Arabidopsis thaliana: one gene and its partners. The protein of the gene in region 4 binds, or shares a complex with, the protein of the main gene of each other region. Each region holds a gene or a part of one and is shown on either strand. Other genes may lie near its edges. The genes, in order: TIM17-2, TIM23-2, TIM17-3 and TIM50.

Evidence for each region.
Region 1: TIM50 (region 4) and TIM17-2 share a complex: the UniProt entries of both Arabidopsis thaliana proteins name them as parts of the TIM17:23 complex.
Region 2: TIM50 (region 4) and TIM23-2 share a complex: the UniProt entries of both Arabidopsis thaliana proteins name them as parts of the TIM17:23 complex.
Region 3: TIM50 (region 4) and TIM17-3 share a complex: the UniProt entries of both Arabidopsis thaliana proteins name them as parts of the TIM17:23 complex.

What each region holds. Positions count from the first base shown.
Region 1 is NC_003071.7:15,695,659-15,703,201, reverse strand, and holds TIM17-2 (translocase inner membrane subunit 17-2), read left to right. Parts: upstream 1-3,847; 5' UTR 3,848-4,046; intron 4,047-4,318; 5' UTR 4,319-4,351; coding exon 4,352-5,083; 3' UTR 5,084-5,392; downstream 5,393-7,543. Other genes in the region: AT2G37420 (ATP binding microtubule motor family protein), read right to left, coding at 73-248, 320-406, 489-600, 687-767, 870-923, 993-1,069, 1,169-1,238, 1,322-1,478 and 2 more; AT2G37400 (Tetratricopeptide repeat (TPR)-like superfamily protein), read left to right, coding at 5,836-6,837. UniProt on the Arabidopsis thaliana protein: Essential component of the TIM17:23 complex, a complex that mediates the translocation of transit peptide-containing proteins across the mitochondrial inner membrane. Links the inner and outer membranes.
Region 2 is NC_003070.9:27,381,857-27,388,579, reverse strand, and holds TIM23-2 (translocase inner membrane subunit 23-2), read right to left. Parts: upstream 5,216-6,723; 5' UTR 5,025-5,215; coding exon of another isoform or gene 5,004-5,024; coding exon 4,437-5,003; 3' UTR 4,056-4,436; downstream 1-4,055. Other genes in the region: AT1G72760 (Protein kinase superfamily protein), read left to right, coding at 279-459, 539-630, 732-856, 945-1,130, 1,225-1,441, 1,528-1,563, 1,646-1,735, 1,808-2,182 and 3 more; AT1G72755 (uncharacterized protein), read left to right, coding at 4,762-4,799, 4,997-5,024; AT1G72740 (Homeodomain-like/winged-helix DNA-binding family protein), read left to right, coding at 5,893-6,042, 6,432-6,646. UniProt on the Arabidopsis thaliana protein: Essential component of the TIM17:23 complex, a complex that mediates the translocation of transit peptide-containing proteins across the mitochondrial inner membrane. Links the inner and outer membranes.
Region 3 is NC_003076.8:3,757,890-3,764,971, reverse strand, and holds TIM17-3 (translocase inner membrane subunit 17-3), read right to left. Parts: upstream 3,785-7,082; 5' UTR 3,481-3,784; intron 3,234-3,480; 5' UTR 3,214-3,233; coding exon 2,812-3,213; 3' UTR 2,626-2,811; downstream 1-2,625. Other genes in the region: AT5G11700 (ephrin type-B receptor), read left to right, coding at 93-281, 366-652, 942-1,158, 1,272-1,514, 1,677-1,765, 1,864-2,011; AT5G11680 (classical AGP protein), read right to left, coding at 4,338-4,440, 4,538-4,764, 4,856-4,927, 5,054-5,165, 5,400-5,509; NADP-ME2 (NADP-malic enzyme 2), read right to left, coding at 6,932-7,020. UniProt on the Arabidopsis thaliana protein: Essential component of the TIM17:23 complex, a complex that mediates the translocation of transit peptide-containing proteins across the mitochondrial inner membrane. Links the inner and outer membranes.
Region 4 is NC_003070.9:20,899,976-20,908,340, forward strand, and holds TIM50 (Haloacid dehalogenase-like hydrolase (HAD) superfamily protein), read left to right. Parts: upstream 1-3,090; 5' UTR 3,091-3,187; coding exon 3,188-3,497; intron 3,498-3,734; coding exon 3,735-3,832; intron 3,833-4,011; coding exon 4,012-4,048; intron 4,049-4,135; coding exon 4,136-4,197; intron 4,198-4,286; coding exon 4,287-4,400; intron 4,401-4,568; coding exon 4,569-4,673; intron 4,674-4,763; coding exon 4,764-4,862; intron 4,863-4,954; coding exon 4,955-5,111; intron 5,112-5,206; coding exon 5,207-5,309; intron 5,310-5,399; coding exon 5,400-5,445; 3' UTR 5,446-5,878; downstream 5,879-8,365. Other genes in the region: AT1G55880 (Pyridoxal-5'-phosphate-dependent enzyme family protein), read right to left, coding at 1-377, 473-616, 784-858, 968-1,165; AT1G55890 (Tetratricopeptide repeat (TPR)-like superfamily protein), read left to right, coding at 1,389-2,585; ZIP11 (zinc transporter 11 precursor), read left to right, coding at 6,186-6,651, 6,736-7,250; AT1G55915 (zinc ion binding protein), read left to right, coding at 7,526-7,854, 8,044-8,239. UniProt on the Arabidopsis thaliana protein: Essential component of the TIM17:23 complex, a complex that mediates the translocation of transit peptide-containing proteins across the mitochondrial inner membrane.

The DNA of each region.
Region 1 (7,543 bases), on a different chromosome or scaffold from region 4:
AAATCAACCACTAGTGTGATCAACTGGTTCAAAGCAAAAAGTGAATTGACATAAGTATGGTCTTTTTTCTACATCATATTTGTGAGCAAGAAATGAGTGGGTATGTTCTTCCATAGTTCTTAATTGTTGCTGTTGCTGAGAGACTGATCCAAGAACTGTTCTGTGCAAATCTTTAAGGTTTTGATCAAGTTGTGATCCAAATTTCAGAAGCATGCTCTGGTTATCGGATTCCAGCTTGTCTTTTTGGTCTGCAGAAACAAGAAAAATCAGCACATGACAGATCTTATTTTCACCCTTAGAAATAGGAAAGAAGAAGTACCCAATCTTGTGAACAACGAATTTATATCGTTTGACGCATGCTGCAGATCACAACGTAACCCCTTTGCACGGTCGATCAAAGAAGTCTCTGTTCAAGAAAAATATGAGTAAGCAACAAACCCAAGAAATCGGAAGCATGTAAAGAAAAAGTATTGAGTAAGAACTGTTACCTGAAGCTTTCATTCTGGAGACGATGACTTCCTTTTCCTTTAACTTTGAAACAACTTGGATATAATTCTCTTTGAGATCTAGCAAGTCCTTGTTACTATTGTGCAGGTTTCTCTGGATCATGAATGTTTGAAATTTCAAGAAAACTCTCACTAAAAGGATGAATAATCTGGATACTAAGTCACGGAAGTTCTAATCACCTTGCAGTCCTTAAGGTCACTTTCAACGTCCAGTAACTTCTCTTTCTCAGTCTCATAAAGGTCACAGAACTTGGAAACCTCCTGCATAAAAGAAGCCTCTTAAGTTCCAATGGGAGAAAATTAATTTAGTTTCTAACGTACAGATACACTTTAATGTTAAGAGATAATGTGAGGCAGACGTACACTTTCACTGAGATTTAGTTCATTCTCCAACTGTTCTATCCTCTCAATTCTCGCCTGAAACAAAGTGATCATTAAGCCCAGCATAAAATGAATATACACTTAAGTGTCTTCTTTTGAATCTACCTTCTTTTCAACTTCTTCTTGTGTATATCTTTCATGTGCAATGTAAACACCATTCTTATCCCTTGCTGCTCTTACATCTGCATTGATTGTTTAACAATTTTAACTAATCCAATAGCTCATTTGATAATATACATAAGAAAATCTGGAGAATATAGAACAGAATGTTGTGTTCATACCTTCTTTCATTCTCTCAAGCTCCAAGTAAAGATCTTTAAGCAACACAGCCTTGGATAACTTCTGGTTTGCCTGCAGAGACACGTCTAGTTAGAAGGATAGAAATTAAGGGTACATTGATAAATAAAGATGAGATATGGTAGCATAAACAAAACCTCAGGTTTGTTCTTGATGTTCTTGGCACGATAGGCATAATCCAAAGTACTTAAAGTTTCCTCTAGGGAATGAGCAGATGGAGAGATTGTAGCAATGATACAAGTTTTTGTCTTTCCTCCTAGAGAGTCCCGTAAAAGCCTTGTCAGCTTACTATCCCTGCAACCACAAGTATGCTTTCAAAAAACACAAATATTACCACAGTAGACATATATAGTTGTAGGACAAGGCAAGTACCTGTAAGGTACATGAGAAGAATGTTCCACAAGGGCATTAATCACACGGCCTAGTGTAAGCAAACTCTTGTTAATCTCTCCTGCTTCTCGTGCACGGCCATCTCGAGCTCCTGACCGTAAGATATTCTCAGATCCTGCTAGATCCACAAGGTTAAGCTTCCCACATTTGATTAACTCTTCATCTCCCATAGACTCTTCCTTTATATGGACAGTGATAGTAAACACTGAATGAGATCGACTACTTCTCTTATTCAACAAAGTATCAGCTGTACGCCTTTTAGATGAACCTCGTTCAAGAAGAGCATATATATCATTAGCACTGTACACAACTTCTTCTTCAAGACCTCTTAAAACCACAGAACCCTTCCCATCCTCCATCAAAGAAATGGGCTTCCTCTGCTTATCCTCAGAAGATCTTGAGGAATCATCTTGAGCTAACAAATCCGTAACTTCCTCATTGTAAAGCTCCAAGAATGTTACTTTCATACTGTAATCAGCATTTTGCGCCTCAAGAGTATCGAAAATATGTCTAACAGCTCTGGGAATCACCCCAGCCTCCGCAGGTAAATCCCCTCCCTTTTTCCTCATTCCACCTTCCATAGTGTAAGTCTTCCCAGTTCCTGTTTGTCCATAAGCAAACACAGTACAGCTAAAACCTTCCAAGACTTCATGAACAATAGGTGCAATAGCTTGATCATATATAGACCGTTGTTGTGACTTAGGACCAAAAACCTATAGAATAAACACCATCAGAGACCCTTGAATACAAAACCATCAAGTAGAGAAAGAGACCAACCAACCTTGTCGAAATTGAAAAGACGGTCTACTTGCTTATTAGCAATAGTATGAAGAACATTGACTTCTCTTCTCATTTCATTACAAGAGATGACTCTAGGAACACTAGATTTCTGCTCTTCTTCACTTAATGGTTTGCATCGTAGAATCACTTGAACATTGACTTCTTTATTATCTCTATCGAGACGGTTAGAGAAAGAATCAGGTCGTCTTCTCTCGAGACGAGGAGTTAGAAACGGTGCAGGTGATGGAATCACTCCTACTCCACTTTTCCTTGATACCACCTCTGGCGTAAACGACATCTTCGATTTCTGTGAAATCAAATTCAAATTCCCTAATCAATTGAGAAAGGTTGGATCAGAATCCCAGAGATTCGAATTCTAAATAAGATTCACTTACAGGAAACAGAGCCGAATCCTGGAGATCGAAAGAGAGACTTCTTTTCAAGTTTGAGAGAGAATTTGAAGAACAAAAAAAGATTAGGGTAAGTAACCGTTGGGAGTGGAAGCAGATCCAAATTCGAATTACTAGAGAGCTCAACACTACCTTTAATTTCAAAAGTTTTTTTAAAAGTCGCAAATATCTTCTTCTTTTTTGTCTCAGTATTCATATATTGCTAGATTATTTATTTACAGGTATTATGATATTAAATATTTCAGTCAAAAAATTGTTCCAATAATCCAACAACTTTATGATTTGTAAACATGGAAAAAAGGGAAAAAAAAAAAAGGAATTGTAAATCTACTACTTTCTGATTTTATTCTTAAATAAACACTTTTGCCAATACAATCATATATATGTGAGATGGATTTACTACTTCTTTTTTTTTGGGGAAAGAATTTGGAATCAGCACTATTGGAGATGGATAAATTAAAAAAATGATCATTAGCTCATTATTATCATTGATTTGACAAAATTAGAGAGAAAGAAAAGAAAACACAAAAGAATTTGTAATTGAATATGAGAGTATTTAATTCAGTCTCCAACTGTTCTATGTGTGATTAATCCAAATGTTGTAACTTGTGAAGACCAATATATATTAACAATCTGTATACATTATACACTAACGTACCGTTGTAAGAGAGTTAATGACATTCTTGCATTATAAAGGAGCTTTTAAGCGTGAGTTCAAGACGGGTAAACAGACAACAACATCCTTTAATCTTTTCTTAGTCTATGGGCTACTCCAAACTTGGGCTACTCCAAACTTGGGCTACTCCAAATTGGGCTTCTCTACTTTAAATCTTCTACTAACTATTTGGGCTTTTATTAATAGGTTTAATTACTTTCTCTCTCAGGTCTTTCTTTTAACTAGTTTGGGCAATTGAAAAAACTTTTGGCTCCTTTTTTAAATTTTACTGAACGAAATTATCCTAAAACAATAAAAAATAAAGCAACCATATTCGAAAAGAAAAGAAAAATGAGCGATGCCGGCAAAAAAGAGAGGGAAATTAAAAAAAAAAAAAAAAAACGCAACAGTGTCGGAAAAATAAAGCTGACAAAAAATTAAACGCAAAATAGTTTGGTCGCTGTAACTTTTTTGTTTATTTTTTTCTAGCCAACCCTAATAAACCCTGACGCCGTTTCTTCTTTTACCTTCCTTCTCTCGCTCACCGTCGCACCTCCTTCATTTTTTCTCTCTCTCTCAAACTCGTCTCTAAAACTCGTCCGTCGATTAATTCCTCGTTAGTCTCAGGTATGCTTCTTCGATTCTCATCTATCATCAACAACAGTGCTTTCTCAATTCTCTTAGATTCATTTCTATACACAAAGTTTCCACCTTTTTCTATGGTTTGCTTTCGATCGTAAAGTACGGATCTTTGATAAACCCTAATCTTCTTCGTTCGATTGTATATGTTCAGTATTTAATTGGAATTAGTCAGAGATCTATTTGTTGATTTCGCAGTGACTTACAAAACCCTAAATTTCTTACTATTTGTTAATGAATCAATATTCATTTGATTACAGGTTTGATAGAATCATTGCCTGAGGCATCTAATAATGGGAACACCAGAGACATCTCGGGAGCCTTGCCCTGATCGTATACTCGATGATATCGGTGGTGCTTTTGGTATGGGAGCTGTTGGAGGATCTGCCTTTCATTTCATTAAAGGGACTTACAATTCTCCTAAAGGTAGTCGCTTTGTTGGAGGAACACAATCGGTGAGCATGAACGCACCTCGTACTGGAGGCAGTTTTGCTGTTTGGGGAGGTTTATTCTCGACATTTGACTGTACCATGGTGTACCTAAGGCAAAAGGAGGATCCTTGGAACTCTATCATTGCTGGTGCTGCAACTGGAGGGTTTCTGTCTATGCGGCAAGGGGCTGGTGCTGCTTCGAGATCAGCTATTTTTGGAGGGGTTTTGCTTGCTTTGATTGAAGGAGCTGGGATCATGTTGAACAAGGTACTGGCTCAGCCTCAGAATATGATGATGGAGGACCCTGGAATGCAAGGAATGCCTGGGATGCAGGGAATGCAGGGAATGCCTGGGATGCCCGGAATGCAAGGAATGCCTGGGATGCAAGGAATGCAGATGGGGCAGATGCAGAGTCAAGCACAGATAAGGTCAGAGAGTCAAAACCAGAATACAGCTTCATCATCATCATCATCATCATGGTTTGGAGGGCTTTTTGATAAGAAAAAGGAGGAGGTGCAACCAGGCAGTGAAAGTAAAACAGAGGTGTTGGAGAGTTTTGATGCTCCTCCGGTGCCATCATTTGAGTTCAAGTAAGCTTTGTGGACATCTATTTCTCTGTCATCCAATGGTTTACCTACTGCCTCAACTATCAATTCCATTTCGTCGTCTTTTTGTCTATCCTAAGTTCTCAGCTGAATTCTTCTTGTTCATGGAAGAATCAGCATGCTATGTTCTCTCTCTTTTCACTTATGGTTATGTTTCAATGAGCTTATGCACTCAATCTAGGAATATTCTCTTTGTGAAACCATTCCACAGATATTGTTGGTTCTTAAATAATGTAGTTATAGATTTTAACAATATTCGCCAGTGGAAAATGTTTGAGCATTGGAAATGAATCCCTTGGTCCAATATCTTAGCCCATCCACACAACTCAAACACAGCAATTATATTGTAGTCACAGCAAGTACTTCAAAACTTCAGAAAAAGATCAATCAGAGTGGTTTGTGAAATCTTCAGACTGATCAGAAGATGAACAGTTCTAACAACAATCATATATCCTTAGCAGTACTGATTCATGATAATTGTTGTGCTTGTTACTTCTTAGTAAGTAGGATCACAAAAGCTTGGTCACACCAACAATATTCGGATTAAGGAAAGAGATCAGCGTTTTGATTTGTGATATTTACATTTCCTCTTCTAGTCTTGGGCTTATAAAGGCCCAAATTCAGGGACCAAAAACGACGCCGTAACTTGAATCATATTCGAACTCGAAGGCTCCTTTTGATGCTTCTTCTTCCTCAAATCTCACTGTAGGGTTTTTAGGGGTTTTCTCTCTCTTTGCAATCATGGAGTCTCTAGGGAAGCTACAGCTTCATCAGCAACCAAATCACCTCTCTTTCACTCATTTCTCTTCATCTTTCCCCAAAAAGCCTTCGTCTTTCTCTCTCAGATCCTTACCCAGATCAACATCATCCTTCAAATGCATTTCAATCAAAGCTTCCTCATCCAAGTCTCAAGACTCGAAGCTCTCAATCCTCAAATCCACATGCGTCAGCTTCACTGCGGCAGCAGCACTGTTCCTTGTGAATCTCCAGCTCAAACCTTCACCGGCGATTGCGGCTCCTGTGGCGGCGACGCCGTTAATGGAATCTCTCAAACAAAGTAACGGAAACGTTTCATTTGAAGAAGAAGAGAGATCACTCGAAGAGTATCTTGCTTCTCACCCTGATGATGTTGAAGCTCTACGATCTTTAATGGAGGTAAGGATCAAATCTCGAAAGCTTCTAGAAGCTATAGAATTGATTGATAGGTTGATTGAATTGGAACCAGAGGAGAAGGAATGGCCAATGTTGAAAGCTAATATCTTTAGTTACAGTGGAGATTTAGAGTCTGCTAAAACTGGTTTTGAAGAGATTCTAGTCAAAGATCCGCTTCGTGTCGAGGCTTATCACGGTTTAGTTATGGCTTATTCTGATTCTGGTGATGATTTGAATGCTGTGGAGAAGAGAATTGAGGAGGCAATGGTTAGGTGCAAGAAGGAGAAGAATCGTAAGGACTTGAGAGATTTTAAGCTACTAGTGGCGCAAATTCGGGTTATTGAAGGGAAGCATAATGAAGCATTGAAGTTGTATGAGGAGCTTGTGAAGGAAGAGCCGAGAGATTTCAGGCCGTATCTATGTCAAGGGATTATATACACAGTGTTGAAGAAGGAGAATGAGGCGGAGAAACAGTTTGAGAAGTTTAGGAGACTTGTCCCGAAGAATCATCCTTATAGAGAGTATTTTATGGATAATATGGTTGCTTCGAAGCTCTTTGCCGAGAAGGTACAGCGAGAGATGGCTGAATGATTGTCTTACGAAATGCTAGTCGTGCTTGAATGTGGTTTTTTTTGTCTCTTTTCTGTTGCTAATGGTTTTAGATGGTTGTAGTATGTAGGTTGAGCTTGAATTTATGTCGTGATCGTGTGTTGTAGTACGGATCGAATACTCAATATGGGAATCTTGAATTGCTTGCACTGTTTTTTGAGATGTGTATGTATACATCACGACTCACGAGTCATTGTCCCAACTCACCTTAAAACATCATTTCAAAAGCACCAAGCTGTCTTGTTTTCTCTTGCTTGGTTTGCTGAAAATGGTTGAAGTCGTGTTGGAGTGCTTCTGACCAAGCCTTGGATACATTGAAAACAGAGTTGAATTTTGGAGGCATATAATTAAACTAACAAGACACCAGTATATGATTTTACAACGCTTGTTCTTGTTGTCTTGCAGCTGGAGCTAAGAGCTCTAGAAAAGAGTAAACAAATAACTGGAATTAAGAAAGAGTTTTAGTATATGTCAATGGACTCGCAAGCAAAGAAGATGACTCTGTCGGACACAAAGAACTTGAACAGTAAGACCAAGGCTATCATCTGATGTAATTCAGACCAACAAATTACAAGAGTAGCAGACAAACACACCATTAAGTAGTAGAAAGATTTTCACCTTTAGCATCGTTAAAATCCAACTTAACAAAAGGATATAAAAGGCCCATTATGATCCCAGATGACGCTTT
Region 2 (6,723 bases), 6.5 Mb from region 4:
TGTGGAAATTTCCATTCTTGTTTGTTTGTTTCACAAGACTGTTGAGTTGTTTGAGAAATAAACCCTCCAAAATTAGAAAAATTGTAAAACCACTAAAAGCTTCATCATCTCACAATACAATTTTCTGTTTCTTTTCATTGTTCATTGTTTCTTCTCTGAGGTTGCAAAGCCAGACAAAAGAAAAACAACACAATCGATCTTGGTTGTGGGTGTTTTGTGACAAAGAAGACATGAGATCATTTATGAGTATTATAGTTTCCTTGTGAAGCAGGTTATTCATGTTTCTTGGGAAGCAAGATTCTAACATGTCTGCAAGAAGAGTTAGAAGGACCTCGGAGGACTATGGCAGTATCACGGCGATCGCCATTGATAAGGACAAGAACAGCCAACACGCCTTGAAATGGGCCGTTGAAAATATTGTTGCTGATGCTCCACAATGTGTCCTTATCCACGTTCAACGTAAGCATCTCTCGCTCTTCTCTTCATCATTGAAACCAAAACGTCAAAGAGCCACCCTAATTAGGAGTATGTTTTGCAGTAGGAGACACAGGAGGACATTTTCATCAGGACAATCCGGACGAGGCACATGAATTCTTTCTTCCTTTCAGAGGATTCTGCGCTCGAAAAGGAGTTAGTATTAATCGATCATTTCCAATCTCCTTGCAACAACATTTCACACTTATAATGCATCAAATATGATCATGACATTCTTGTATATACACACTTTTCAGATCATAGCAAAAGAGGTTATTCTTCATGATATTGACATCTCCAATGCTATTGTCAACTACATCACCAACAATTATTACATTGCAAATCTTGTTGTTGGCGCATCTGCACGCAATTCCTTCCTTAAGTCTCTCTCCTCTTCTCTGTTTCATGCTTGGTATCATCTCAACTTTGGTTATACAAAATGCTAACATTCAATTTTTCTTTGTGATCAGAAAGTTTCAGAGTCCAGATGTACCAACCACTCTGCTTAAGACGACTCCAGAGACTTGTGCCGTCTTTGTTGTGACCAAAGGTAAGCTTTTAAAAAGCAGATCCGCGAGTCACCGTCATAAACTTTCCAGACAACAAAATCTCTCTTCTTTGTTGTACAACTCAACAAACTCCATTGACTCTGACAGGTAATCTCAACTCTCTTCTAACCATTGGCCATGGTTTTCTTTTCAACAGGATTTAGTGAAGTATGCCTTTTCATTTTGTTTACATTTTTTACAGCGCATCAATATCATCACCTGTATCTACACAAACCAACAAACCAAATTCAAATTTTTTCCAACCTAATTCACCTCGCATCTCAACACCGCAATCTATGAGTGAAATCTCTCAGTCAGAGACTGACAATGGAAGTTGTGATATGGTATCAACTGTGAGTTCTTACACCGTCTCTGATAGTTCCACTACCATCGGAAGCTCGATCTCTTCAACTTCCACGGTTAGTAGTATATCGTCACTTTCTTATAAATGTTCAGTTTCTCAGTGTTCTGACATTTCCTTCTTGGTTTTCATACTGATGCACAGGAAAGTCCACTTGTCGGAAATTACGTGGAACAACAGGTAAAGCTTTTCAGGAACATAAATTTGGTCCTGGATTTGCAGAATGTCAACATGATTTGATATGGTCTATCCTTTTTGACAGAATCAAAATCTTGAAGCAGAGGTGAGGAGACTGAGACTGGAATTGAAGCAGTTTAACAAGGACAAAGACACTACAAACCAAAAAGAAAACGTAAGATACTGTTATCTTCCATGTTGATGACAATTGTTGTGAATAATAATCATTAGATATTACATTATGTAGTCCCAAGAAACCCCATGGTCAGATGAAAAAATAGAGCTGCCTAGAGCATTGTCTGATAGGGAAACGCAGAAAACGCAGTCTGCTGCATTCCAAGCAGCTGAAATAGCAAAGCGCATAGCGAAAATGGAGAGCCAAAAGAGAAGATTACTTGAGATGCAAGCCAATTTGGACAAACAGATGATGTTCACAACGGTTTCTTACAGACGTTATAGTATCAAAGATGTTGAAGATGCAACCTATGGTTTTTCTGATGCTCTAAAGATTGGGGAAGGAGGTTATGGACCTGTTTACAAAGCTGTCCTCGATTACACTTCTGTCGCCATTAAAATCTTGAAGTCGGGTATCACAGAGGGACTGAAACAGTTCCAACAAGAGGTACTGTGTTAGTTTATATTGCTCTCCTTATTTTGCTTCTCCTTCTCCTGACTCATACATATGTTTCTTCAATAGATTGAGGTTCTTAGTAGCATGAGGCACCCTAATATGGTAATCCTTCTCGGTGCATGTCCCGAGTATGGTTGTCTTGTATATGAGTATATGGAAAATGGAACACTCGAAGATCGCCTCTTCTGCAAAAACAACACACCCCCACTTTCATGGAGAGCAAGGTTCAGAATCGCTTCTGAGATTGCCACAGGTCTTCTTTTCCTTCACCAGGCAAAACCTGAGCCCCTAGTTCACCGTGATCTGAAGCCAGCAAACATTCTACTCGATAAACATCTCACTTGCAAAATCAGTGATGTCGGTCTAGCTCGCTTGGTACCTCCTGCTGTGGCTGATACCTACAGTAACTATCACATGACTTCTGCAGCCGGTAAGTCTTAACATCTCTTTTCGATGTCTTAACATCGAACCAATGTTGATGTATGTTTCCCATTTTGACGTGTACGGGAACAGGTACATTTTGTTACATTGACCCTGAGTATCAGCAAACCGGAATGCTTGGAGTGAAATCTGACCTCTATTCTTTTGGTGTGGTGCTACTGCAAATCATAACAGCCCAACCAGCAATGGGGTTAGGCCATAAAGTAGAGATGGCGGTTGAAAATAATAATCTGAGAGAAATTTTGGATCCAACAGTATCAGAATGGCCTGAAGAAGAGACTCTGGAGTTGGCTAAATTGGCTTTACAATGTTGTGAACTGAGGAAAAAGGACAGACCTGATCTTGCCTTAGTTCTGTTACCAGCTCTGAACAGGCTTAAAGAGTTTGCAACAGAGGATCATGAACGTATTCAGGATAGAACATCTCATGTGTCACATGAACACAATTCAGTTCCGCTTTCCCCGATTCCTTCCTCTCAGGTTAGTTTCTTAGAACCATTCTTTTTAAGGGATATTAGCTGCAAATAGAAATTTAGGGTTTTAGATCAAGCAGAATCATGTTTTATTAAGTAGGTGAAAAATGTTTACTGCAGAACTTTCTCAGTTCATGAATAATTTCTGTGCCATGTAGATAGAGGATGAATTGAGAAAATCATATTGAGTATTGATAAAAACATGGAAATTCGACGTAGATCAACCAGAAGCTGAAAATGGCAGTACCTGAGATCCACGACTATCTTGATCCTTCTAAGACCCGTAACCATCCTATACCTAGAAGGAGTCGACCTCCAAGATCACATACAAGCAAGTACAAAGGCAACGGTTGGTCTTTTATGAGTTGTGCTCCTTCCAGAGTTCAGTGGGGTGATCTCCCATAGCGTGTGGGGAGTTCCCTTATCTTTGTATATGAAACATTCTTTTAGTTTTGTTCATGTAAAATTCTACACTTTAAAGAAGACTTGTTTATTGATGTAAAGACCCTCATTCGAATGAAGAAATCAGACGAAATGTCATTTTGCAGGTACATGATCTTCTGAAACAAAACAAAAATTCTAAGCAAGCTGCAAAACTGAAAGTTTAAGGCTTTAATAAAAAGATTAGAGGACACTATTTGTTCTTCATTTAGAGCAGCTGATAAGGTCTAGAGACGGTAAGAGTTTAGAGAAGGTTTGCTACACAATATGCCTGAGACTTGAGAACCAAAAACCACAAAACCAAAAGTGACTGATCCATCATCATAAGCTTGTGAAATCTTGGAGACAAAATTAATAGCTAAGAGCAGAGAACAGTCCAGAGAAATAGAACCAGGGGGATATAATAGGTAACAAAATAACACCATCAAATATCAGGTTAGTACTCAATGAGATAAACAGAGGTATACAATTATGTGAACACACTACACCATCCCAATTAACAAAATGATAAGAAAAAACTTGAGAGAAGAGCTTCATTTTCAAATGTAATACAACACATCAGTTTCTCAACGAATCAAGAAAGAGTTAACATTGATCAAAAACAGAAACATAAAACACTAACTAGAACAAACACACTCATGACAAATTAAATTACCAATCGGCAAAACATTTAATCAGTATGAATATAAGAAAAAGGTTTGCAGGTTATTCTTCAAAGTGAAACTGCATTATGACTTGACATACAGACTTGTTGTACCTCTAGAAACCAAATAAAGTTTTCATTTTTATGATTCCAAGACATACCAAACCTATCAAATTCTCACCATTTCCCCTATCAAAAATTTCAACAACGACCCGAAAAAGAGTCTGCCAATTAGACTCTTGCAGTCTTCAAATGGGCACATACCGCTTCACAATTTGCTTCCCAGCTACAACAGCTCCAGCCGCAAGTCCACCAAGAGCACCAGCTACAGCTGCAGATCTCACTCCTCTCGCCGCTCTACAAACAGCTCCGGTTCCAAGACCAGCCACCACACTGGTCCAAACATCATCTCTATCCGTGGCAGCCACAATACCACTCTCGATCCCTGCGTAAACCAATCCAATGATACCAATCCGATTACCCCAAGTTCGACCAGTTTGACCAGAAGAGTTCAAGATCCTGTTGATTTTGAGCTTAGTAGTGTCGCCAGATTCGAAGCTTTTGACTCCAGTGATGACTCCAACAGAAGCTCCGGCAACGGAGCCACCGAGGTAAGCTGTTCCGGTGTAGAAAGTGAGATTCTCACCCCAAGATCTACGTTGCCTTAAAGCCTCCTCCGTGAAGAGAAACTCAGGGGAGGTAGGAAGCTTGTAAAGGTACTGAGATTTGTTGATTGGGACTTCGTAGTTTTGGTAAGGATTGTAAAGTCTTGTGTTTTCGTCTGACCCATGATCGGATCTGTTATTAGCCGCCATCGATGGAAGAGAAAAGTCTAGGTTTTAAGGATTTTGGTGGTGGCTAGAGAGAGAGAGACGACGGAGAGGAAAGAGAGAGAGAGAAACGTGTGATGATGTGGTTGTGTTGTGTCTCTCTGAATGTTTGGTTTGGTTGCCGAAATGAGAAATGAAACCAAACTAAACTAAAAATCTATGTTTAGGGTTTTTAGGGAAAGACTCAGTCCAGTTGTTTCCAGATACGCGCAGTACCAGATTCGCTTAATACTCGCGTTTACGTTTATTTCGAACTTAACCCCATTTATTTTATTTTCTCTATTTAAACCCAAGTTGGTTTTCTCTTACCACCACACACTGTATTTGCTGATATTTCGAATGTGACCCCATAAGTTTAATTTTTACAAAATTAACCTCTTCAACATTGGACTTTTCAAAGTCATACTTAATTACTTTGCAAAATTGCAATCCATCGTGACAACCAAACATCCTCGAATTTTCAGGTGTTTCTCTTATAATGTCAGAAATATTTTTACGACGAACGAACCTAATTTTATGAATTTTTTTTGTCATCAGTTTTTATTTAGAGAACTAAACTTCAAATAAAATAATTAAGGATTCAAATACAAAGCTTATTTGTTTTTAATTTAAGTCAAAAGGCCAAAAAAAAAAATTCGATTTAATTTCGAGAGCGTAAATAGAAGACAAAATAAAAAGCATAAATTCGGAAGTAAATAATCGAAAAAGTTTTGCAAACTGGAAACCTCCTCCCGCAGTCACACAACTGCGCAGAGCCAAAAATAAACGAAACCTCCGGCGAAAGCTACGGCGAAGAGACTGCGTCTAACTCCGTTTACACGCCGATTGTCTTGGAGAGAGAGAGAGAGCACGAGGTAAATCACGCAAGGGTTAGATGGGAAACCAGAAACTAAAGTGGACGGCGGAGGAAGAGGAGGCGTTACTCGCCGGAATCAGAAAGCACGGTCCTGGAAAGTGGAAGAATATTCTCCGGGATCCAGAATTCGCTGATCAGCTCATCCATCGCTCCAACATTGACCTAAAGGTTTCTCTTTTCTTCACTCACCTCTTTAAAATCACTCTCGTTGAACCATATATTAAACCTAGACATCGAATTTGAGACCAACCCGGAGTGCATTATGTACTCTGTCGTATCTGCTTAGTTTAAGATCCATAAAAAATCAAAACTTTTGGCAATAGGTTTTATTAGTGTTGCCTCTTATCATTGGTTATAGGATTAGAGATTCCTTGGATAGATTATAAGTTTTTTTTTTTATTGATTCAAGTGTGCAATACCTAAAGCTAGCTTGGTTGAGTTGGAGATTTGAGGTGGAAAGAGTAGTACTGTCCTTCATTTTGCTATGGATTTCTTTTACTTGGTGGTAGTCTTATGAAGAAGAGTTTGAAAATTTTGTGTGTTTCAATACTTAATAGGATAAGTGGCGTAACTTGAGTGTTCCCCCTGGTACTCAAAGTTTAACTAATAAGGCACGGCCAGCAAAAGTCAAAGAGGAAGGCGACACTCCGGCTGCAGATGCAAATGATGCTGTCACTATTCCACGGCCTATTCCTACTATTCCACCTCCTCCCGGTCGGCGTACTTTACCTTCTGAGTTGATCCCTGATGAAAATACAAAGAATGCTCCTAGGTTTGTCTTTCTTTGTTCTCTATTTCTCATACTTGAGGCCAGAAAGTATGATGAGAGACTAGTTCCATAAATGCTAG
Region 3 (7,082 bases), on a different chromosome or scaffold from region 4:
TACACATTTTGAGAATATCTAATTCCGTTTACAAGGATTTGTTGGTGTAAGGTTTAGTATATATATATATATATATATTTATTTTAATATAGGTCGCTGCAACCTCCGATTTGATGCTTGCGTATCTGGATTTCTTCCTTGGTGGGGATGAAAAAAGGACAGACCTTCCACCTCGACTTCACCAAAGGTTTCCAATGCCCATATTGTTTGGTGGTGATGGCAGTTACATGGCTCCTTTCTCACTTCAAAATGACAACATTCTTACCAGTCTGATGAGTCAGGTTGGTTCCTTAGTTAACGAGAAGCAGTTTCAGCAGTTAAATGAAAGGTTGTATCGATTCTTTCTCATTGTTTTACTTTCTCAGCTTGGTTCGCCTACTACTTGGTATAGACTGGTGGCTGGTGTAAATGCTCAATTACGTCTTGTTCGCCGTGGGCGTCTGAGATCAACATTTCATTCTGTTCTGAGATGGTTAGAAACTCATGCTAATCCCGCTCTGGAAACACATGGCATACGGGTTGATCTGGCCTGGTTCCAGACTACAGCTTGTGGTTACTGCCAATATGGTCTCTTGATTCATACTGTTGAGGATTGTGAACCAACATCACCTCAGTGTGTCAGTGAAACAACATGGACTGAAATCCAGCCACGGTAAATGAATGAGAAATTGCATGCAGTCTGTCTATCTATTCTATCTTAATGTCCATTTCGTGGTAACAATAGTCATGATACCATTCTTTCTTCTGTATGTGCTATGCTGGTTTAGGTTGAATAGAAAATATGAACTGAGAAATCTAGATAAACAAGATGATCACAATTCTTTCTTGATCACTCTAGAAATTTAAGATTTCTTTTGTGATGTCACTGTTTATCATGTTTTCGTAGTGCACTTCGTATCTAGTTATGCTGCTTTTTGATGTCTTGGTTTTGTAACTTCTAGTTATGGCGTGAATGCACATAAAGAAAATTCTCCACCACATTTGAGAGAGAGTAGGCTCTTCAACCAACCCCACTCAAACACCGAGGATTATACGACACGCAGAAAGAACTATGGAGGGATAATCGACCTTGACAGCTTACCGAGTCTGAAAGAGAAGAGAGATATGTTTTTCCTTCTCTCTTTCTTAGTTCACAACACAAAACCTGTGGGCCACCAGGTACGAACCCAATCAAAATCTTTATGGTATGAATGTATTCTTAAATGTTGTGACGTTCAACTTTTCTAGAATTTTAATGTCTCTTCCCTCTGTTATCGTCTTTGGTATTGCAGGATATGGTTGGCTTAGTTATCTCGATGTTACTTTTAGGAGATTTTAGTCTAGTCTTGCTCACACTCCTCCAGCTGTATTCGATTTCTTTGCTGGATGTACTTTTGGCTTTGTTTATATTACCTCTCGGCTTGCTTCTGCCATTCCCCGCTGGGATTAATGCCTTATTCAGTCATGGACCCAGACGCTCTGCTGGCTTAGCACGTGTTTACGCATTGTGGAACTTCATGTCCTTAGTCAATGTGGTAAGTTTTCTTTGTTGACAACTTGTTATGTGGAGAAATGCAATGTGGTTCAGTTCACATGAGGATGAATATAATAGTTATATCTGTGGACATTATGGGTGTTGATTCTTTAGAACATGCTGCATGTCTCACATTATCTGACGAGTTTTGGTTCTGTGACAGTTTGTGGCTTTTCTCTGCGGATATGTTCATTATCATAGTGAATCATCAGCTAGCAAGAAAATCCCATTTCAGCCGTGGAATATAAACATGTGAGTTTTACTACTATGCAAAGTTGTACCTTTCTCTGTGACAATCTTATGTTTTGTTTGTTGGGTTTGTGATGTCTGTACCTTTTTGGGGGATGCAGGGGTGAAAGTGAATGGTGGATATTCCCAGCAGGACTGGTCGTGTGTAAGATAATGCAATCGCAGCTCATAAATCGACATGTAGCAAACCTGGAGATACAAGACCGCTCGTTGTATAGTAAGGATTATGAGCTGTTTTGGCAGTCGTGACAAAGTCTTGTCAGGTAATTTTTCTCAGAACAACTAAAAACAGTCCTGCCCCAAGTTTGGAGTGGGGATTTCAGTTTGTTTTTTTTGTTCTTTTGTTTCTCTTCTTGTAATTCTATTACTCCAGGTGAATAGAATTAGGATACAAAAGAGAAGGAACTCTGATTGTTAAAAGAAAAAAAGTTTATTTGAGGGATATAATTAGGGACAAAAACATGTAATCTAAAGATCCTGTTTGGGTTTCTTGGGGCTCTCGGTTTTGGTTTTGAGTGGATATGGTCGTGTTGGTGACTGGTGAAGATCCTCCTTCAAAGGTTGTATGTAAATAAGTGAGAAACCAGAATGATGATCTATCTACTTGAGGCTGTGCTTATTATATCTGCCTCAGTACACCTGAGTTGTTTTTTGGTGTATATTATTGACAAGAAATGGATTTGGTTCTTGATTTGGTGTGTGCACTAGTTGGGACTTAACTAAGGAGTTTTTTTCAGAATGATCAAAATCAGGGAATAATTTAACTTTTGACTGTCGAGCTCAATAATATCTTTGACTCATTCCCTCATCTTCCCCTTCCCAAATGTTTTTCCCCTGAGATTTCATCTACTTAAAAGAAACTATTCAAAAAGGAACACTTGAATAGCAATAATTAGTTCTTGATGACGTTTATACAAAAATGATCAGAAATTCTCAACCACGAAATCTGTTAAACTTTCCATGAAACAGTAATTTTGAAGAATTGATAACGAAAAGGCAATTATCATGAAAGTCTAAATGACATTCTCATCAAAGACAACCCAAAAAGCTTACTTGCTCCCGAACGGAGGGTTGAGTACAGCCAAAAAAAAACCAAACATAACCGCTGATGTTGAAGCTGCAACAACCCCTTTTCGGATAGACAGAACTCCACCTGTAGCAGCACCCGCTACGATGGAGTTCCATGGATCTTCCTTCTTCCTGATGCGCACCAATGCATAGTCAAATGTTGAGAGCAATCCTCCAAATACAGCAAAAGTGCCTCCCAAGCGAGGAGCATTCATGCTAGCCGCTTGTGTTCCTCCAACATATCGAGCACCTATTGGGGAATTGTATGCCCCTCTCACGAAATGATATACAGAACCTCCAACAGCTCCCGCTCCAAATGCATAACCGATAGCATTGACTATACGGTATAGGCCATGTTCCTTAGATTTCTTCTTAGTGTCCATGTTCCTGACAATGCTAGTTTCTACAGAGGAAGGTCAGAGATCTCACAACAAAACTGAATGAACCAATCATCTTAAGAACAAACCGCATAAAAAGCTGCAAATTTTGAAAAGGGCTAATTATCGAAGCTAAGAAATCCTCCGCTTATGAATTGAGCTCAGCACAAGAATCCGAATACCAGAGATATACATCACAGAAACTAATCTAGGAATGATAGAAATTCTGATTCCATTAAGAGCAAACAAAACGGAGCTTGGTTAAACACTAACCAGAAAAGAAGCAGCAGATTCTAGTGACCGATAATGAAGTCGCTTCTAATCAGAGAGGGCGTGCGAGCCCCCGAAATTAGGGTTTCTAGGTGAAAACGATCGACAATTGTAAATCCTCACTCGTACCTTCGCTCTCGCTCCTCCTAATTTGGACCAGTGTCGCTATAAATTTCTGCAGAACTAACTAGAATGCTATGCCTAGTGAGTGTTACAATTTGTTTTGTCAGAAAAAAAACACCCTGGTCTTTGTTTTTTTTAATAAATGGCTGGAAAGCCACTTTCTCTGGAAAATAAAGCTAGAATGCCACCTTCGTATTTTCATTTTCTTTTACAATTTTGTTTTAAATCAAAAACTAAGGAAAGGTCCAAAAACCCAATTTCAATATTGAAAACTACCAACCCAACCTAAAGTATCCGATTATCCATTCCAAATTTTATGGTCCAACCCTGAACCTCAAATCTTAGTCCATTGGGTTTTAGCTTGCAAAATATATGTTTTGTGGTTTTGTGTGTCCCACTAGTGGCCACGACTTACTACAAGCTCAAGTATTCGCGATTTAGCTGAAGAAAATTGAGCGTGCGGATCAGCCAAATCCGACTTTTCATGGTTCAGGCGAACCGGCAGGGTTTTCGACCCACATTTTGTTCAATATATGAACCAAACTTATGATTATTACGACTCCAATTTTACCAGATACATCCACACACCAAACAAGTCTCATCTTTCTTTACACAGATGGTTTTAGACTTTTAGTTTTCAACTTTAAACAAACAAACAACACGTTTTGCTTATTAGCAACACTAATCTGTTGCTGTTTCTGTATTCATAGCCTTTGTATTTTTTTTTTCCGTGTATCTCAATGTTCCGCCGCACCCGAATGGTAAGCTCTACGCCTCAACTGAGATTCCCCTGATGGCTGTTGCAGATATATCCTCGTTGGATCATTAGGGTCCACGTACCTGCACATACACAATGACGACCACACAAGATTTTATGAGGAACAACAGCTTTTACTACTATCAAAAAACTTTCCGATTGATTTCTGATGGGACTTACGCATGTCTCATCATTTCGTCCACAGGTGTCTGAGCGGCTTGAAGAGGATCAACATGAGGAGCTGCCGCTGCTGCTTCTGCTGCTTGTTGCATTTGTCTGTTGTATTGTCTCACTGATGATATGAGATTCAAGAAGAGAGGAACAAATGTCCCACAACCACCTTCCTTAAATAGGATCTTGAAACTGTGTGTTGAATATAGAGCTCTATGCTCATTTTCTGGCACCACCTGGAAATTTTGTTACATGCCAATAAGTAAATATGTATAGTTTCCTTACAAGGAAAGAAACTATAAATTCTCCATGAAAGTTTGTACTTACAGGCTCCACTTGTCCAGCAATATTGTTGCAGTGAAATATTGGCTGATTAAATTTCTCGGCATGGATGTAAAGCTACAGAGTAACATATAATCCATAAGCTAATATGTAGCATGTAGTTCCATAACCAAATTTAACAGAGCTACACTTGTGCCATGTATTAACTAAATCAGAGACAAAAATAAGATAAAGTTACTGTACCAGGGGCATGTCAAAAGCAACAAAGTTGTCAACAGGCTTGCTTGAAACAAAGACCATCCGTATATTAGACAAGTAAATCACCCCCTTGGCCTTAACATGACCTCCATGCCCTCTGGATCATACAACAAGAAAGAACATCAGGGAAGTGTTTAAAGCCCAGAGCTCATATGTCTGTTCACTTCTGAGACTTATCTTATTTACAAGTAAACTTAATGGTTCATATGCTAGATGAGTGGATCTAAACCGACTCAAAACGGTACTAAAATGGAGACCAACAATAATCATCAAATCAATAAACCACTTAAGGAGATCCAAAACATGCGTGACGAGAGAAGGGAACACGAACCCAGGGATCTTGTCGACTTCAAACTCAACACCATCTCGGACTAGGACGAACATTTCATTAACAAAGGGAACAGGCATCCCATTGGGTAGTAATTGAGGGTTTAGCGCCATGAACTGCAATTCAGATTGATCAAGCCAATGATTATATAATTCCTTGTTCTGTTCTTCTTCTCTGCGTAACCTGATCACACAAATGAGAATATAAACACATTTCCAAATATACTTAGACAATCAGAAGATAATTCAAAGGAACATGCTCCAAATTAGCAAATAATTATTCACAGATCCAAGTAACTAGAGCCAATTAACATCCACATATCATCAGCTTCCAATTTCAGATATGCAAAAGAGCAAATAAAATTGAGGTTTTTAGCTAATTCAAATCGAAACGTTCCTATAATGTAGAAACAAAGACTAGGATTAATAATACGTGTTCAAAACAAATCAATCAACAAAGAAAATATCTAATTCCTTAGAGAATCAAAATCTGATAGCAATAAGAAAGCAGTAACAGAACGATCCAAGTTCAATTTCAAGCAATCCTTTACTCGTAATTTTCTCGCGAATAGAAAAGCTGAAGGAACATACCTGGGTCTACAGAGCTTAAAAGGATTTTGATCGGAGAGATTGAAGAAGAAGAGGATAGGGGTAATAAAAGGGCCAAGATCACAGTTTCTCGTTTTTTCCAGAAAAGAGACGCGACGCGGTTTATTCTTAAAACCTTCTAACCATTTTATTCGTCCCTCTACTTATTTCTTTAGTTCGATTTTCGCCCGCAATTTGATTTCGTTACAATTGTCCCCATCTACAGTTACTATTTGGGCCTTATTACATCTCAGATTAAAGGGACCGTTCAGCCCATTTTCAGTTGTTTTAACTTTGGTTTCGGTTTAGGTGTTTATTTATTTTTTTGACATCTTGTTTCGGTTTAGTTTTGGTTTGGATTGTTTGAGCTTTCGATTTTAACCAAAACGTGAAGACGAGTTTTAGAGATTCTTGTTATTGTTTTAGCTATTTATAACAAGTAGTTACCTAAAATGCCAAAATCATTAGCTTAAGATTAGGAGTTTTGTTGTTTTTAGAACATTTTGCTCAGTACAATTTAGAAACCACTTTCAAAAGAGTATTCAGCTATGCTTCTATAGTCCTATTATCTATATGAAACTTTTGATAAACTCTTCAAAATAATGATACAAGTTCTTTAATTCTGCAACAATTATACCATTTTAATAAAACAACCAATAAGATACAACAAGTGGCAGAAAAAAGCATATTATTCCCTTCCAAGACAAGTTGATCGATTTTGTGATGTGGGATGGAAAGTGTAACTTTGAGACAATAATGATTTGTAGATTATATTAGTAACAATTTATTATTTATCAGCAAAGACAGAGAGAGAGTTCACAAACAGCATCATAATGTAGAAGAGAAAACAAACAACAAACAAACAAACAAAAAACTTAAATACAAGCCTTAAGAAACTATCAAGGGTTGTGAATAGTATAATCTGCAGGTTTCTTCAACAAAACTTTTTTAACGGTAGTTTCTGTACACAGGGCTGTACATGCTGCTCTCTGCAAACTTGACAAGATCCTTTGCACGTGGCAGGTTCGACGCCAATCCTACACCACAATACATCGATTTTAGAACTTGAGATTAGAGAGTTCAGACAGTCTCATTAAAA
Region 4 (8,365 bases):
GAAACACCAGCTAAAGTCCCGCCTGTACCCGCAGCAGCAACAAAGGCGTCAATATTACCCTGAGTCTGGTGCCAGATTTCAGGGCCAGTACCTTCATAATGAGCCCTATAATTTGCCAAGTTTTCAAATTGATCTGCAAAGAAGCCACCGGTAACTGAATCTGAGAATAAGGAAGGCTCTTTCACTTCCTCAACCGTGCAACCATTAGTTTTCTCCTGGTGTATGCCATTTGTTTCGCTCCCTAGTCTTCTCTTTGATGCTAACTCGTTTGCTTCGTCAGCCCGTCGCCTCGCAATGTTGACATAGTGATCCTTGTGAGTTATTGACACTGGCCTCACTCTCTCAACAGAAGCTCCAAGGGCTTCAATTATTTGAGACTAAAATAAGTCCAACACGATACAAATTTGAGTGTATGTACAATAATGCATACAAGGGAATTTGAATCATCATCAAGGTATTTAAAAGATATAACCTTTTCAATAGCAGCATCATCAGGTATAACAACATGACATTTACACCCATAAGCCGGAGCAACTGTAGCAAGGCTAATGGCAGTACTTCCTGCACTACCCTCAGTTACAATTCCTCCAGGGAATAGCTTACCAGATTCCAAAGCCTAAACAGAGAAACAAAAAAAACATAATGGACTTGCTTCTCGATTTCAAAAACCACTAATATAAATAGCCAAGCTGATGATTCAATCACTGACATTGTTAAGAGAGGTTTATGATGATCAAAAAACTTTTAAAAGTTGAAACCTTTACAATGCTAATCATAGTGTACCTCTTGAATGATCTTGACAGCAACTCTATCTTTAACACTACCTCCTGGATTCAAAAACTCGCATTTCCCAAGAATCTGATCACCAGACGAAACAAGTAGAATGAAAATTACATCTTTAACTCATAAATCACACTATCAGTTCGTCAGACCAAACAGAAAATAGCAAAAGAACATCGAGAAAAACCTCACATCCAGTAGCCTCAGAGAGACTATTGATACGAATCAGAGGAGTATTGCCAATGGCATCAACAAGCCCGTTTCTCATAGTCAACTTCTCCTTCCTCTTCTTCTTCTCGGAGAGACGGAAAAAGAAGCTGTAAGAAGTAAGCATCAACAACGCCGCTGCTGCAACAACAGCGCCAGTCATATTAACAGGCGCCATTGAAGCTCAAGCTCGCCTTCTCCCGTAATCAAACCGGTGAAGTAAAATTAGGTCGTCGGCAAAACAACACTATTTCTATTATTTGTTATTCTAGCCCCCAATATTTCCTTTAGTTAAAAATAAGGCACTAACATTTTTTAAATTATCAGATGCGTCCTTCATTTGATTTGTTCTTAAACTCGTCTCCTGAAGGCTGAAACCCTTTGCTCTCACTCCCAAAACGATGTCGTCTCTATCTCGCGTTCTCCGTGGCACCTTCAACACTTGCCCGATCCGCCGTTTTTCCTCCGCCGCCACCGTAGTCTCCGAACCCACCGCAGTCACTGCCGCAATCTCGCCTCCTCAAAAGTCACTAACCAGTCTCGTGAATGGCGAACGAAACCCCAAACGGATCGTGGAGAAATTCAAGAAGGCATGTGAGTCGGAGCGGTTCCGGACCAACATAGCCGTGTACGATAGAACCGTGCGCCGTCTCGTAGCCGCAAAGAGATTACACTATGTCGAAGAGATTTTGGAGGAGCAGAAGAAGTACCGCGACATGTCAAAAGAGGGATTCGCGGCGAGGATCATTTCTCTGTATGGAAAAGCCGGCATGTTTGAAAATGCACAGAAGGTGTTCGAAGAAATGCCAAACAGAGACTGCAAGAGGTCAGTGTTGTCCTTCAATGCCTTGCTTAGTGCATATAGACTTTCCAAGAAATTCGATGTGGTTGAAGAACTTTTCAATGAGTTACCTGGAAAGTTATCAATCAAACCAGATATTGTATCTTACAATACTTTGATTAAGGCATTGTGTGAGAAGGATTCTTTACCTGAAGCTGTTGCATTGCTTGATGAGATTGAGAACAAGGGACTAAAACCTGATATAGTTACATTCAACACACTTTTACTGTCTTCGTATCTAAAGGGACAGTTTGAGCTAGGGGAAGAGATATGGGCTAAAATGGTGGAGAAGAATGTAGCAATAGACATCAGGACTTACAATGCTAGGCTGCTTGGATTAGCCAATGAGGCGAAATCGAAAGAGCTAGTAAATCTCTTTGGAGAACTTAAGGCTAGTGGGCTCAAACCTGATGTTTTCAGTTTCAATGCTATGATTAGAGGATCTATCAACGAAGGAAAAATGGACGAAGCTGAAGCGTGGTACAAAGAAATTGTGAAGCATGGTTATCGTCCTGATAAAGCTACCTTTGCTTTATTGCTTCCTGCTATGTGTAAAGCAGGTGACTTTGAGTCTGCGATTGAGCTCTTCAAGGAGACATTCAGTAAGCGGTATCTTGTCGGTCAAACAACGTTGCAGCAGTTAGTTGATGAATTGGTGAAAGGGTCTAAGAGAGAAGAAGCTGAGGAGATTGTGAAGATTGCAAAGACCAATGATTTCTTAAAGTTGAAGCTAAATTTGCCGTCCCAGGAAGAGTAAGTCATTTGCTACTCTCTCACTAAGTGTCTCGTTGAATTGTGTCTGAGCAGCTTAAGCTATATGTATTTGCTGGTGTTGCTTTGTGGCTTTTCTACTTCTCTAAACTTTCCTCTGTGGAAGTAAGACTTGTTTCTTTCTATGTAGTTTCGCTTATTTCACTGGTGCAAAAAACAGCATGTAGTCGAGGTTTAGGCAGAAGAAACCCTACAAATTTAATAAATTTTGGTTATTTGTTTTCTCTTTTTGACACGAATGAATTTATTATTTTTGTTGGAAAAATATTTTCATTTTATTTGGTAAATAAATAGTGTAAAATAACTTCATTAATTAGTTATTAAAAGCCCGAAATGCAAAAATAAAATAAAATAGATTCTCTTCTTGGTAAACAAGTAAAAAAAACAGCAAAAAAAATAGAAAAATATCGGAGTAGAAATAAACCGACTACCAAACAGTGGATAAGAGAGTTAAAACGAGCCCATAAAACCTGTTTCCAAACAGTCCATCTGTTAATTTTCCTTTTCTCCGATCAATTCCAAAACCCTACTTCAACCCTGCGATTCATTCATCATTCACAGAGTTTGAAGAAAACGCCGAAATCGGAAATGGCGTCTATTGTTCTTCGATCTCGCCTGTTGCCAAGATTAGCAAAGCTCAGATCTCGTAATCTGAGATGTTTCTCTGCGGAAGCATCTTCGACGAATTCTACATCTAGGTATTCGGGAGTCACCTCTACCCAGTCGATGTTTTCTGATTTTCCACCGCCAAATCAGCCGCCACCTCCTCCTCCTCCTCAAGTGGAAGCTGCTGCCGCGGCTGCGACGGGAAAGGAGAGGAAAGGTCTTAAGTATCTTGGTTACGCACTCCTCTGGGCACTCACTGGTGCTACCGCTGCTACTGGTTACGCAAGTTTTGGTATGTACTTGCATTCATGAATTATCTTTTTTCCCTCTCGTAGATTTCTAGTACAAAGTTGTTTTTGCTGTGAAATGCGAGTAAAAATGTGTTATGGTTTGCTTAATCGTGGCATTGCATTACATTTTCACATATCAGTCTTTTGAATTCAGTGTTCTTCACTTGGTAGAACTGTGTCTTTCTTCGTTATGTTGACTCTTTTTAGTTCTGATTATACTTGTTTGTTTCGTTATGCAGCTTACACGATAGATGAAGTGAATGAAAAGACTAAGGCGTTCCGAGAATCAGCTACGAAGACACCAGTTATTAAATCTTCTGGCATTGATGTGATTGATGTGAGTAAGCTTGGTAGCCTTGAGTCGCTGTCAAATTAATGTTGATCATAACTTGCTTCTGTATTAGTTGACTTTCTTTAGTCTCTGGCTTTCAAATGCGTGCTGCCATGTTTCTCTGCTTCAAGGTATTGTTTATAAGCTTCTCTGAATTAATACCCTTTATACTCATCTTTCTGCAGAAATATCAGACTAAGTTGTACTCTGCTGCAATGACAGGTATAGTTCTTGCGCCTCTGTCATCATAACTAATAGTATGTCTTTAATTAAGCATAGCATGAGTTGGTTTGCTTGAATTTTGATCAGGTTCTGCTAGAGCCATTGATAAGTATTTAGAGCTTAGGGAAATTGTGGAGGAACAAGTGAAAGTACGTCCTTTCACCGAGACACAACTTTTCTTTTTCTTGCATCTTCTTTTTTCTTCTAGAATTCTTATTTTTTGTCTGGTTCCTTATAGGGCTTCACGGAACCTCTCTCGGAAAAGCTTCTTCCGGATCTGCACCCCGCAGAACAGCATGTCTTCACTCTAGTTCTTGATTTAAATGAGACACTGCTTTACACTGACTGGAAGGTAACATTTCATTTATTTACTGATCATCAAAATACTTGCATCATAGATGTGAATATGTGACTCAGAGTATCTATGTTATGAAACAAAGCAGTTCTGGTGAACTACTTTGTTTTCTTAAGTAGTGCTGTATTTAACTTTTCCTGCCTTTTCATTTACAAAAATGTCTAGCGGGAAAGAGGGTGGAGGACATTCAAAAGACCAGGTGTCGATGCATTCTTGGAGCATCTTGGGAAATTCTATGAGATTGTCGTGTATTCTGACCAGATGGAGATGGTAAAGTCCCAATTGGTTTTTCTTTTTTCTCCTTTTTTGCTTGTAATATCATAGTAATGCGACTACTAACGCTTGTTTCATTACTTGTAGTATGTACTCCCGGTCTGTGAGAAATTAGACCCAAATGGCTACATACGTTATAAGCTAGCAAGAGGCGCTACTAAATATGAAAATGGAAAGCACTATAGGGTACGTAAGCAGCTAGCTTATCTTGTCAAAGCATACTTTCTGACTTGCCCGAGTAACTGTTTCTCAACTAACTATTAAAATTCCTGCTGCAGGATCTGTCAAAGCTGAACAGAGATCCGAAGAAGATTCTGTTTGTTAGCGCAAATGCCTTTGAATCAACCCTTCAGCCAGAAAATAGCGTGCCAATCAAGCCTTACAAACTAGAAGCTGATGACACAGCCCTAGTTGACCTGATACCCTTCCTTGAATGTAAGTATTGGTGAACTGAGGGATAAGTTCTGTTCCAGTCCGTGAACTGCCTGTATCAATTTTGTTTGGTTGATCTTCCTGTTTGGGTTATGCAGATGTTGCACGTAACAGTCCAGCAGACATCAGACCGGTTCTGGCCTCTTTTGAGAGAAAAGATATTGCCAAAGAGTTCATTGACAGGTCCATAGAGTATCAAAAGTGAGTCGATCAGAGCTTTTTTTTTACCCTATCGTATCAATGCAAAATCTGTTGGTAGTGTCCCACTAAGAGTGTCATATCTCTATGCAGGCGAAAGCAAGGACAACTGGGACAAGGTCGATTCTGGAGGCGTTAAAGGATCTAAGATTTATGTATAGAGCGAGAGACAATTATATCATCATTGATGGTGCACACCATAAAATAGGAACATGAGCTACCGTTCTTCGCTATGGATTTATTAGGTAAAATCCGAATTAAAATACTGTCTTTGTCATCAAAGAGTTTTTATGTTACCCAATTTTCCTCGTCTTTCTCTCTGCTTTACATAGAAAATTTCTATGAGAACGAAAAAGAAATTATCATATGGAAGGTTCATTTTTCGTTGACTAACAAATACCGTTTTTTTTCTCTGATTTATTTTTACTTGGTTTGACAAATGATTTATGATTATGAACTTTGAGAAATTATTGGTTGAAACGTCAATTTGTATGTATTGCTAAAAAAAAGAGTAAATTACCTTTTCTAGTACGCTTAATATTTATCTGTCTGTTTCAATGCGTGTCTTAAGGTGCAATATCAGGTTTACAATTAGGTAAATCAATTACAGATTTTTCTTGTTAATCTGAACCAAATAATTGTACTTTTTCCTAAATTTGAATTCATAAAGAGGGTCCAAGTCTAACAACCACTTACAAAGCTCCTTCACCCGTAATCCTTTTCAATGTGTCGTAATCAACCAACCAAAAACCATAAATTTATTGTAGTACAAAACAAAACTCCATGACTTTAAAGTACGACTCTTAAACACCACTTATATATTACACGACATATCGCTTAACTTCGAATTTCAGACACACAAACCCACTGAACATTCAAATGTCTCGTTCTCTTGTCTTCTTCTTCCTCTTTCTTGTCTTGGTCGTCCCTTGTCTCTCCCATGGAACCGGAGGAGACCACGACGACGATGAGGCTTCGCACGTTAAGAGTTCCGATCTCAAATCCAAATCCTTAATCTCCGTCAAGATCGCATGTCTTGTCATCATCTTTGTCCTCACGTTCATAAGCGGTGTATCTCCTTATTTCTTGAAATGGAGCCAAGGGTTTTTGGTTCTTGGTACACAATTCGCCGGAGGCGTGTTTCTTGCAACCGCCTTGATGCATTTCTTGTCGGACGCTGATGAGACGTTTCGTGGTTTGTTGACGGCGGAAGGAGAGTCGGAGCCATCTCCGGCTTACCCATTTGCTTATATGTTGGCTTGTGCTGGTTTTATGTTGACCATGCTTGCTGATTCTGTCATCGCTCATATCTACTCAAAGACCCAAAACGATTTGGAGCTTCAAGGTACCAAAAGTTTCGAACTTGTGAATCTCAATCAAGAATTAGAATTATGTTGTGTTGAAAGTTTTGTGCTTTATTTCGTTTCAGGAGAAGACAAATCGAATCAGAGGTCAGCAACAACTGAAACTTCGATTGGAGATAGCATTCTATTGATCGTAGCTCTCTGTTTTCACTCTGTCTTCGAAGGCATAGCTATTGGTATTTCAGAGACTAAATCAGATGCTTGGAGAGCTCTCTGGACAATAACACTCCATAAGATATTTGCAGCGATTGCAATGGGGATAGCTCTTCTCCGTATGATCCCTGACCGTCCTTTATTCTCCTCAATCACTTATTCTTTCGCATTCGCCATCTCGAGCCCAATTGGTGTTGCCATCGGGATAGTCATCGATGCAACGACTCAAGGGTCCATCGCGGATTGGATATTCGCATTGTCGATGAGCTTGGCGTGTGGGGTATTTGTGTATGTATCTGTGAACCATTTGTTGGCAAAAGGGTATCGACCAAACAAGAAAGTTCATGTTGATGAGCCTCGTTATAAGTTTTTGGCTGTGTTGTTTGGAGTTGTTGTCATTGCCATTGTTATGATATGGGACACTTGAAAAACACTACAATTGTCCCAAAATACTGATTAGATTTTTCTGGTTTGCAAAGAAAGCTTGTTGATTTTTGTATGTTTATAGCATGTAGCAATCCTCGTTTTGTAATGTACTTTGTACTTTTGTAGCATCAAAGATAACACACCAATAAGAGAGGTTTCTTTCTTGTTCGATTTGGACAAGCACGGTTTATCTAAGCGGTACTTAATATAGATGGGCCTGTGGATTGGGCTTGAAGTGGGCTTATAGTGGGCGTGTAGGTGTTGTTATTGGCTTACATGAATAATGGTGCGTTTGTCCCGCCACTCTCTGGTAGACCAAATTATGCTTCACATTTCAAAATCCCTTTTTTGTTGCATCGAAGATCGGGAAGGTCAGAATTGTTTGGGTTTTTGAATCGAATTTTGAGATATTTGAAGGTGGGCATCTGTGAAATTGTGATGAGTTCGGCGAATTTGGAAGATTTGAACAAGGTCTGGGAAATAAAGGCTTTGAAGAGGAAACCTAGAGAAGATGAAGCGAGGAAGATTCTGGAGAAAGTAGCTAATCAGGTTCAGCCGATTATGACTAGACGAAAATGGCGCGTCAAGCTTCTCTCTGAATTCTGGTAATTTAAAGGGTTTTTGTCAAATCGTCTATTTATTAAAGATTTGAATCGATTAGTGGCTGTGGAAGAATGATTGAAAGTATTGTTGAATCGATAAGTGGTTGTGGAAGAATGATTGAAAGTATTGACTTTTAGGGTTCATGATGTTTCCATTGTTCATGATGTTTGTTTTCGATTTCGAAATTGCAGCCCAACAAATCCAAGGCTTTTGGGGGTGAATGTAAATAGAGGCGTGCAAGTGAAATTGAGGCTTAGGAGGGTAAACCATGATTTAGATTTCTTATCGTATCATGAAATTCTCGACACCATGCTCCACGAGCTTTGCCACAACGCTCATGGTCCTCATAACGCAAGTTTCTATAAGCTTTGGGATGAACTTCGAAAGGTATCTCGATTCTTATTTGACCACTCCATCATTGAAGCTGATGTTTAAGAAATTAACATACATTTTGAGCTTAAGAGCTAGTAAAGTTTAGAGTTCCTCTACCACCATGGCTTATTTGAGATGCAT